Linked DNA regions of Callithrix jacchus. The protein of the gene in region 1 interacts with the protein of each later gene in a biochemical or structural test. Links are inferred from orthologs where the notes say so. Each region holds a gene or a part of one and is shown on either strand. Other genes may lie near its edges.

Region 1 (3,806 bases):
CTCTCCTTGTGTGGCCATGTCTTCTCGCTTGGTGTTGGGTTAACTTGCTCCTGGTCCTCTGCTCAGTGGTGGCGTTGCCTTCTGTGCTGGCCCCGTGGATGGATTGTTCCTTTTTTCCGTGGTGACCTCCTCTCCAGGCTCTGCTTGGTGGGCTTCTGGTGTGGCCGCGCCCTGTGTGTGTCTCTCTCTGTGTCCTGCCAGTGGTTTTACCCTATGGTAGGTTACGTCATGCTGTTCTACCACAGGGTAGAACCACGGACAGGATACCGGGACACCCTCTGCATCGAAGGACTCCTCGTCTGCCCAGCCACAAACAGCCCAGCCGCCGGGGACTGGCCCCCTTGGGACGTCCCCTGGCTGGTTTAGCTCAAGCCCAAAAGGACTCTGAATTCATGCTTGAGGCTCGAAACCAGGGACTGGGTGTTGGTTCAGATGAATGCGTGGAAGTGTGGGCACGGGTATGGTGTGGGGGGTCTGGAGGTGAAGGGAGGGCAAAGTGTAAGAGAAGTGAGATGCCTGTGGCATAGTTGGTGGGGGTGAGGTTTCTAATCGGAAGACAGTACGGATGACATTTTCATGGATCAGGATTGGGAATGTGGTGCTGTGTATTTATGTTATGTTGCCCGTCCAGGTAGAGTGGAAGCAGGGTCGTTGCTATTCAAACAGAACCTTTGCAGAAAGATCATTGTAATAAACATGCATCGTGTCCTTGTGCAGTACACAGCCTATGCAGCTGAGCATGGTGACCCAGGGTACAAGGACCCCCTTTAGCATTAGACGCTCTGGATGTTGTGATGTAAAGTCTAGGAACAGGAACACATCACTTGGGAGCCAACAGGCACACGTTTTCCTGAACCTCATCCTCAAATGCACTTGCCACCCCACCCTGGTTCACTCTAGGTCTCAGCCTGCCCTGTTCACTGATCAGCTTTTCATATAGGTTAGCCCGGGCACTTGTCACGGGACTGGACTCCTTGGAACACGTGTCCGCAGACTACCTGAGACACAATGGAGGAGAGTCACAGCTCCTGTGCAGATGTGCACTAAGGGACCCGTTATTCTTGTCTTTTCTTTCTCTTCCCTCACAGAGAGTGGTTTTTCCTCCTGTCTCACGAGGTGCTCAACCCTATGTATTGTTTATTTGAATACGCGGGGAAGAACAATTACTGCCTGCAGATCAACCCCGCCTCCTCCATCAACCCGGACCACCTCACCTACTTCCGCTTTATCGGCAGATTCATCGCCATGGTAAGGGGGCCACAGGGGAATCTCCTCTTCCTCTGAGACCTCCAGGAAGGGGCAGCATTGGAGGAGGCCCTGGGCCTGTTCACCAGGAGGCAACGTGGCATGAATAGCAGCCCCTGTGGACTGGTGTGCCCTCTCTGATCCCCACCCTTCACCCCCATAGAACTCGTAAAGTAAAAATGCAAAAAGCTCCAGGCGCCGTGGCACGTGCCTGCAGTCCCAGCTACTCGGGAGGCTGAGGTGGGAGGATCGCTTGAGCCCAGGATTCTGGGCTGTAGTGCCCTATGCTGATTGGGCGTCCACACTAAGTTCGGCATGAATATGATGACCTCCCGGGAGCGGGGGACCACCAGGTTGCCTGAGGAGGGGTGAACTGGCCCAGGTCAGAAATGGAGCAGGTCAAAACTCCCATGCTGATCAGTAGTGGGATCGTGCCTGTGAATAGCCACTGCACTCCAGCCTGGGCAACATAGCGAGACTCTGTCTTTTAAAAATAAAATGCAAAAAGCTAGCGAGAGCTCTGGAGAAACCAGAGCTTTCCTCAGTGGCTGCCATATAGGTAGTGAAGTTTCCATGTTGCTTTGTATAGGACTTGTCAAGAGGAAGCCAGGGTCTCGGGGCCACAGACTTTACTGAACATTAAATATGTGCTCTGTTGAGGGCCTTGGGATGACAGGGCTGAGTGAAACCGTAACTGCCCACCTGCTGCCTGTCTCTGGGAGGTGACACTGTCCCGGCATTTGGGAATGTCCCACTGAGACACTAAGCCTTCTGGAAGGACATTTGGAATCAATGCTAGCTTAGAACGAAACCCTGGCAGACCGGCTGGTGCAGGGTGTAGGGACATCTGTTGGAATGTGGGCCATTTCTGGGGAGGCGTCACAGCATCGCATCTGTGTTTAACTGGAAAGAGGGACATGGTGTGAATATGGAAAGGGAGGTTCTGCCACGTGCCCTCTGTTGAGGGTCTTGAGAGTGTGAGAACCTGGATTGAGAAGCGGGGCCCGTGGGAGCCACAGCTTGGGAGCTACATTCATAGCTTGAGATGTTTCAATTCTCACTTTCCTTCGCCTCTTCCCCTGCCTTCCTGAGTGTCCTGCCCTGCTTCCCTGTTATGAGGACCCAAGCTCCCCAGGAGTCTATGACTAAATATGGCCCTTCCCATCGCCTGGGAGTTCTTGGCCAAGGTGCTGGGCTGTGGAAGTGGGCACATTTTTCCCAGGTCTAGAGACCCGCCTGGCCCAGCAGCCAACAGGACAGACCGGTAAAACCCTAGACTATTACTCACCATTGGCCGCCAGCTCTCGCCGTCAGCGGTGTCTGCATTATTTTTGGCTGTCATTGCCACCCGCCCTGAGCACCAGTGAGTCAGGGCTGCTGCCACCTGGAGCTGTTTGGAGCAAGCCTTTTCTGTGAGCATGGGACAGATCTTTGCTAGCCCGGGGCCAGCTGGCCAGTGCATGGGGCAGATGCAGGCCTGGACATGGGTACCCACGCCGGCCAGCTCGGCCCAGTCCCTGAGCTCTGCAGGGCAGGCTGGGGGCCACCTGCAGGTACAAGTTAGGACAAAGGTGTCGTTTACTCCCCTGGCCCTCCTGCTGTGCCCCTGAGGCAGCCGCTGCTGCGATTCTGTCAGGGAAGGAAGGCAGGTGGCTGTGGTGGGGTTTGATATGGAGCATCTGAGAGCTGGTCTGGTGGTGCCCAGGGAAGCCAAAGCTCTGTGCTGTGCCTCTTCCTTCCCAGGCGCTGTACCACGGAAAGTTCATTGACACGGGCTTTACCCTCCCTTTCTACAAGCGGATGCTCAACAAGAGACCAACCCTGAAAGACCTGGAGTCCATCGACCCCGAGTTCTACAACTCCATTGTCTGGATCAAGTGAGCCCCCTGCCCCCACCACCCCCCACACCCCACTGCACTGATAGGAGGGATGTCTCTGGGCGGGGAGTAGGTGCTGATGGCCTGGATTTTGTCTGCCAGAGTGTCCCCTGAGCTCTCATGCAGCTTTTATAAGAGCTTGTGGAGAGAATTGCCTTCTGTGGACAGTTCTAGAATTCTCTCCTTGAGTCAGGGAGCTGTTGCTTGTCACTCTTCTGGATTCTAGGCCACCTGTGAGGCCTTGGTGTCCCACAGGCAACAAAGCAGGACCCAGGAAAGACCCCGCCACTATAGACATCTTCCCGCTTGGTCTCCTGTGCCCCCAGAGAGAACAACCTGGAAGAGTGTGGCCTGGAGCTGTACTTCATCCAGGACATGGAGATCCTGGGCAAGGTGACGACCCACGAGCTGAAGGAGGGCGGCGAGAGCATCCGGGTTACGGAGGAGAACAAGGAAGAGTACATCATGTGAGTCTCTGGTGCCGGGGGACTCTGCTCCAGGAGTCCCAGCAGGTGGCAGGAAACCTAGCGGGTTGCAGAGAAAGATGGGCCGCCACCTGTGGCCTATGGGTCACTGTGGATCCAGGACCCTGCCATTTGCATCTGCCTCAATGGTGGCTACTAGCAGCCAGTCACATGATGGCACGAGCTGGGGGAGCCAGAGCTGAGGTCCTTAGTTACTAGC
Region 2 (4,574 bases), on another chromosome or scaffold:
ATCGCATGAACCCAGGAGGTGGAGGTTGCAGTGAACCGAGATGATGCCACTGAACTCCAGCCTGGGTGGCAGAGCGAGACTCCATCTCAAAAAAAAAGAAAGAAACAAAGACTCACATTACCTCCAACAGCAGCAACAAGCCTCTAAAGCAGTTGCCCTGCTGTGTAACTCACCCGGTAAGGGGTAAGGTAGACGGTGCCTTTCTTGGTCCCTTTGAAGGCTTCTGGCACGTTCTTCATGTCATTGAATGTGAGTTCCACATGATCATAGGACATCAGGATGCTGTGGTGAGAAAAGAGGAAAAGCCTTGGTCAGACAGTATGGAGATGTGGTATCACCCAGACACTGGGCCTTTCTCCCAAGCAGCTGTCCAGCACATCAGCTCTCGTAACCATCTCAACAGTGCTGCATTAAAACCAATCACAGGGCCAGGCACAGGGGCTCACACCTGTAATCCCAGCACTTCAGGAACCTGAGGCGGGTGGATCGCCTGAGCCCAGGAGTTTGAGGCCAGACTGGCTAACATGGTGAGACCCCATCTCTACAAAAAAACAAAAACTAAAAACAAACAAACAAAAAAACCCATTACTCTAGCCATGGAAGAAATGAGCAGGTTGGGGTTCTATAAAATTTCCCAAAGCCTGCTTGCACAGCCCCAAACGATCACCATTGTAGCAGAGCCGCAGGGCTCTGGAGAGGCCATCATCCCCTAAGCAGGTTAGAAGAGCTGGCTTAACTCTTCTATTTTCTTTTAAGTCCTTGTGATGGATGTTGTTTTTATTGGCTTGCTTTTCAAGCCTAATATATAAACACGTCTAAGAGATAACTGTACACATCACAATAGGACCACCTTCAGGGTTCATTTAAACCTGGGTTTTTAGCTGGTTCTGCCGGAAAGTCTGTCCATGAAGCCCTTGAGATGATCGTGTACGTCACATGTGCATTTTCTGGGAGGAGAGTTCAGTTTTCATCATTCTCAAAGGAGTTCACGACTTGAAGAATAAAGTTCACTATTTATCAATTTTTTAATTTTGAGATGGAGTTTCACTCTTGTCGCCCAGGCTGGAGTGCAGTGGCACGATCTCAGCTCACTGCAACCTCCACCTCCTGGGTTCAAGAGATCTTCCTGCCTCCACCTCCCAAGTAGCTGGGATTACAGGCATGCAGCACCATGCCTGGCCAACTTTTTTGTATTTAATAGAAACAGGGTTTCACCATGTTGGTCATGCTGGTCTTAAACTCCTGACCTCAGGTGATCCACCTGTCTTGGCCTCCCAAAGTGATGGGATTACAGGTGTGAGCCACCATGCTGGGCCTAATTATCAAAATTTGAATGCTGGATTTAAACTTCAATTGTTATAGATACAACTTATTCAGACAGGAGGCTGAAGCACTTTCTAAAACAAGGCACGCCTTATTTAGCAAGACTGAGCTCTAAGCCAGGTAGAAGGCCCAGCAAGATGGATAGTCTTGTCTCAGAAAGTTCCACAGAGACAGAAAGAACAACAGTCCCTAGAGATGTTGCCAAATGGTATGAAAAACTGGCTGGGCCTGGGAACTGACTCACACAGAGATGCAACAAGCCAATGTGAGGTGTCTCTGATTACAGGATAAAAAGATTCACACAGTTCTGTTTGTCTTCTGCCTCCCCCCACATATCACAACTTTCTCTGATAGGGGAAGGGTAAGTGGGAAACCACTGGTATTAAAAAAAAGAGAAGTACCTCTCAGAGAAAAGAAGGAATTACCAGAAACAGGCTGCGCCCATCACACTCTGAGCAGGTAAAATGGACGGAAAGTGAGCATCCTGTGGTCTGGGTCACTCTAGGCATTTTCCTCTGACTCATCAAACATTCCCAACTCACAGGGCACCTGGATGCTGGCCTTAGCTGGGTACAGGGCTCTGATGTCCCCTTTGGGGATGCAGATGCCTCCTAAGCTCCTTCAAGAGGTATTTCAGGGTTGGCATAGTTCAACCCAGGCTGGTTTGATTTTCTTTACTTTTTTTTTTCCTTTTCTATCCATGGAATCACAGAACGGTCTGATTTTCAATACTCAAGGAACAAAAGGAGAGAGAAGCCATTTGAGGAGCCCAGAGGTTGGAGGAGAGACAGAATGCAATGAGCAAGGGGTGGGGAGGGCGGAGTAGAAAGAACCTTGAATTAGGAGACCTCTGCCTTCAGGGGTGACTCAAACCAACAGGCATTCAAGAGAAGAGGCAAGGGACTGACTTTACGGACCCACACAGTGCCAGGAACTGTCAGACATCTGATCAACGTCACCTGTTTAATTTCACCTCTGGGGCCTCAGTTTCTTACCTGGAACCTGATCGGTTCTGGAACATACTGGAAGCCTGTATGATGGTAGTTAATCCTATTAACTTTGGAGTCAAGACTCCTTTCCTGGAATTGCCATCTCTGTTACTTACAGAGTTGTGATTTCGGGCAAGTTACTTAACCTTTCTGTGCCCCACTTTACCTACCTGTGAAATGTGGACAGTAGTAGATTGTACCGCACAGAATTTTTATTAAACAAGGTAGAAAAGGCGCAGAGTCTGACACGTAGTAACGTTGTAGACGTTCAATAAATGACAATTATTTTTGTTTGGGGATCCTCCCAGCTACTAAACTCACAACTCTGGGAAGGGGTTTCAAGAATCACCCTAGGCCCCACCGGTCGTCCCACCCCCAATTCCCAGCTGACAGCAATCTCCCGGCCCTCCCCCCACGGCCCACCCACCTTCCTTCAACCCCGCCCCCAGCCGTTCCCCTCCAACCTCACTCCATCAGCGCTCCCTCTTCAGGGGCTTATTCCCCGCCGCCCGCCGCCCGCCGCCCACTTCCTCGACACCGGAACTTTGGTCCTCCAGGATCCTTCCGCAGTGTTTTCACCTTTCGGTGTTGTTGACGATCACTCCACCGCCCTCCGAGTGATTCTTGTTGAGCGCCATAGTCTCTCCGACAGGGGTCCCGAGACTCACAAGGCAGTGCGCTTGCGCTCGTCTTAGGCCCGCCCCTAGTGGCGTCTTGTTATTAGAGTCAGCCAATCACAGCTCCAGCGCGGAGGCTGGCCCAACCACCTGACCCGAGCGTCACGTGGTAATAGTTTACTCCCTCTCCCTTCCCCCGTTCCGCCTGCGTAACAAACAAGATGAAGACTACAATTCCCAGCAGGCAACTCTCCGGAAACCTCGACCTCTCCCTATGCTGGAGGAAGGATTTATTCTGGAACTTGTAGTCTCCTGGACCATAGACCGGAATTGGCTCCATAATTTGCATAACCAATCGGCTTGTGCCATCCCCACCCCGCCTCCTTAGCGGAACCTAAGTAAACAGCCTTCTGGCAGGGGCGCAATCCTGGGGGTCTGCTCCCGCGTCCGGGAGGTTTAGCCGGCCGAGTGCGACCTGGACATGCTGTGGGATCGCCGAGCAGTCCTCTGATAGATGGGGCGCCTTCGTTCACTCAGCAGACGTTTATGGGGCGCTTGTGTGACTCTGGGGCCTTTAGCTGAGCCCGAGGCCCCGGCTCTTGGGGACGCGGTGGCTGGCGGCGTCCGATCACCCCGTCATCCGTCTCACCAATCCCAGCCCAGAGCCCGGGGGCAGGGAGAGTCCCGCGACGGGAGGGGAGATCGGTGCGCCCCGTCTGGATTCCACCACGTTCACGAGCCGGCCGGGCGCCCCTTGCAGCCTCCGCGCCGCCCTTGCGGTGGCGCGGTTCCCTCAAGGGCGCCCAGCGGGGGCCCGGCCGGAAGATTGAAGGCTGAGTGGGACTGGGCACGGCGCGAGACCGGCAGCCTCATAACTAGGACTTACAGAATAGGGCTGACTCATGCCAGCTCGTGACCCAGCCCTGGGCATCCTCCACGGGGCAGCTATCATTCCCTAACCGCCCCCCACAAACCCCCGCACTTCCAAGCTGAATCCGTGAGGCGGAAAGAGGGGGCTGCACTCCCAACGTGGTGGTTCCGCTACTCGTTAATCTTAAGGATCAGAGTTGGCTTTTCAGCAGACAGTTGCTTTCCTGACCCGCTGGGGCCAACCTCGCGATCCACCTGCTTGACTTCGCTTTCCAGGGAGGTCTCCCTATGTGAAGGAACAAAACTGCCTCACTAGAAAAGATCAGGAAACAGCAGCCTTCTGCGAGGTCCCTTGCAAGACTAGGTTGGACCTTGCAGGACAAGTACAGTGGATTAAGGATGGTGATACTGAGACCTACCCCAATGATTAGATGTATTTTGGCGCCTGCAATCTCTGCAGTCTTTAAAAAGAATGAAGTCAGACTGTGTCCTGATATGGAAAGATTGTCAAAGGTTATTAACACAGAATGCTGAATAAATATAGTATACAGAATGCTGTATAAATATGAATATAGTATACTGTATAAATATACAGAATGCTGTATAAAAACAGGCTGGGTGTGATGGCTCATGCACTTTCCGAGGCTAAGGTGGGCGGATCACCTGAAATCAGGAGTTTGAGACCAGCCTGACCAGCATGGAGAAACTCCGTCTCTACTAAAAATACAAAATTAGCCGGGCATGGTGGCACATGCCTGTAATCCCAGCTACTCGG

The links.
Region 2: the proteins of WWP2 (region 1) and WBP2 form a complex in vitro, tested with the Homo sapiens proteins (4 studies listed by BioGRID, with this or other methods). The link is inferred for Callithrix jacchus from reciprocal best matches to the Homo sapiens genes WWP2 and WBP2.

What each region holds. Positions count from the first base shown.
Region 1 is NC_133521.1:27,515,974-27,519,779, forward strand, and holds part of WWP2 (NEDD4-like E3 ubiquitin-protein ligase WWP2), read left to right. Parts: intron 1-1,088; coding exon 1,089-1,248; intron 1,249-2,988; coding exon 2,989-3,122; intron 3,123-3,448; coding exon 3,449-3,589; intron 3,590-3,806. UniProt on the Homo sapiens protein: E3 ubiquitin-protein ligase which accepts ubiquitin from an E2 ubiquitin-conjugating enzyme in the form of a thioester and then directly transfers the ubiquitin to targeted substrates.
Region 2 is NC_133506.1:131,750,613-131,755,186, forward strand, and holds the start of WBP2 (WW domain-binding protein 2), read right to left. Parts: upstream 2,991-4,574; 5' UTR 2,951-2,990; coding exon 2,892-2,950; exon of another isoform or gene 2,777-2,891; intron 283-2,776; coding exon 174-282; intron 1-173. UniProt on the Homo sapiens protein: Acts as a transcriptional coactivator of estrogen and progesterone receptors (ESR1 and PGR) upon hormone activation. In presence of estrogen, binds to ESR1-responsive promoters. Synergizes with YAP1 to enhance PGR activity.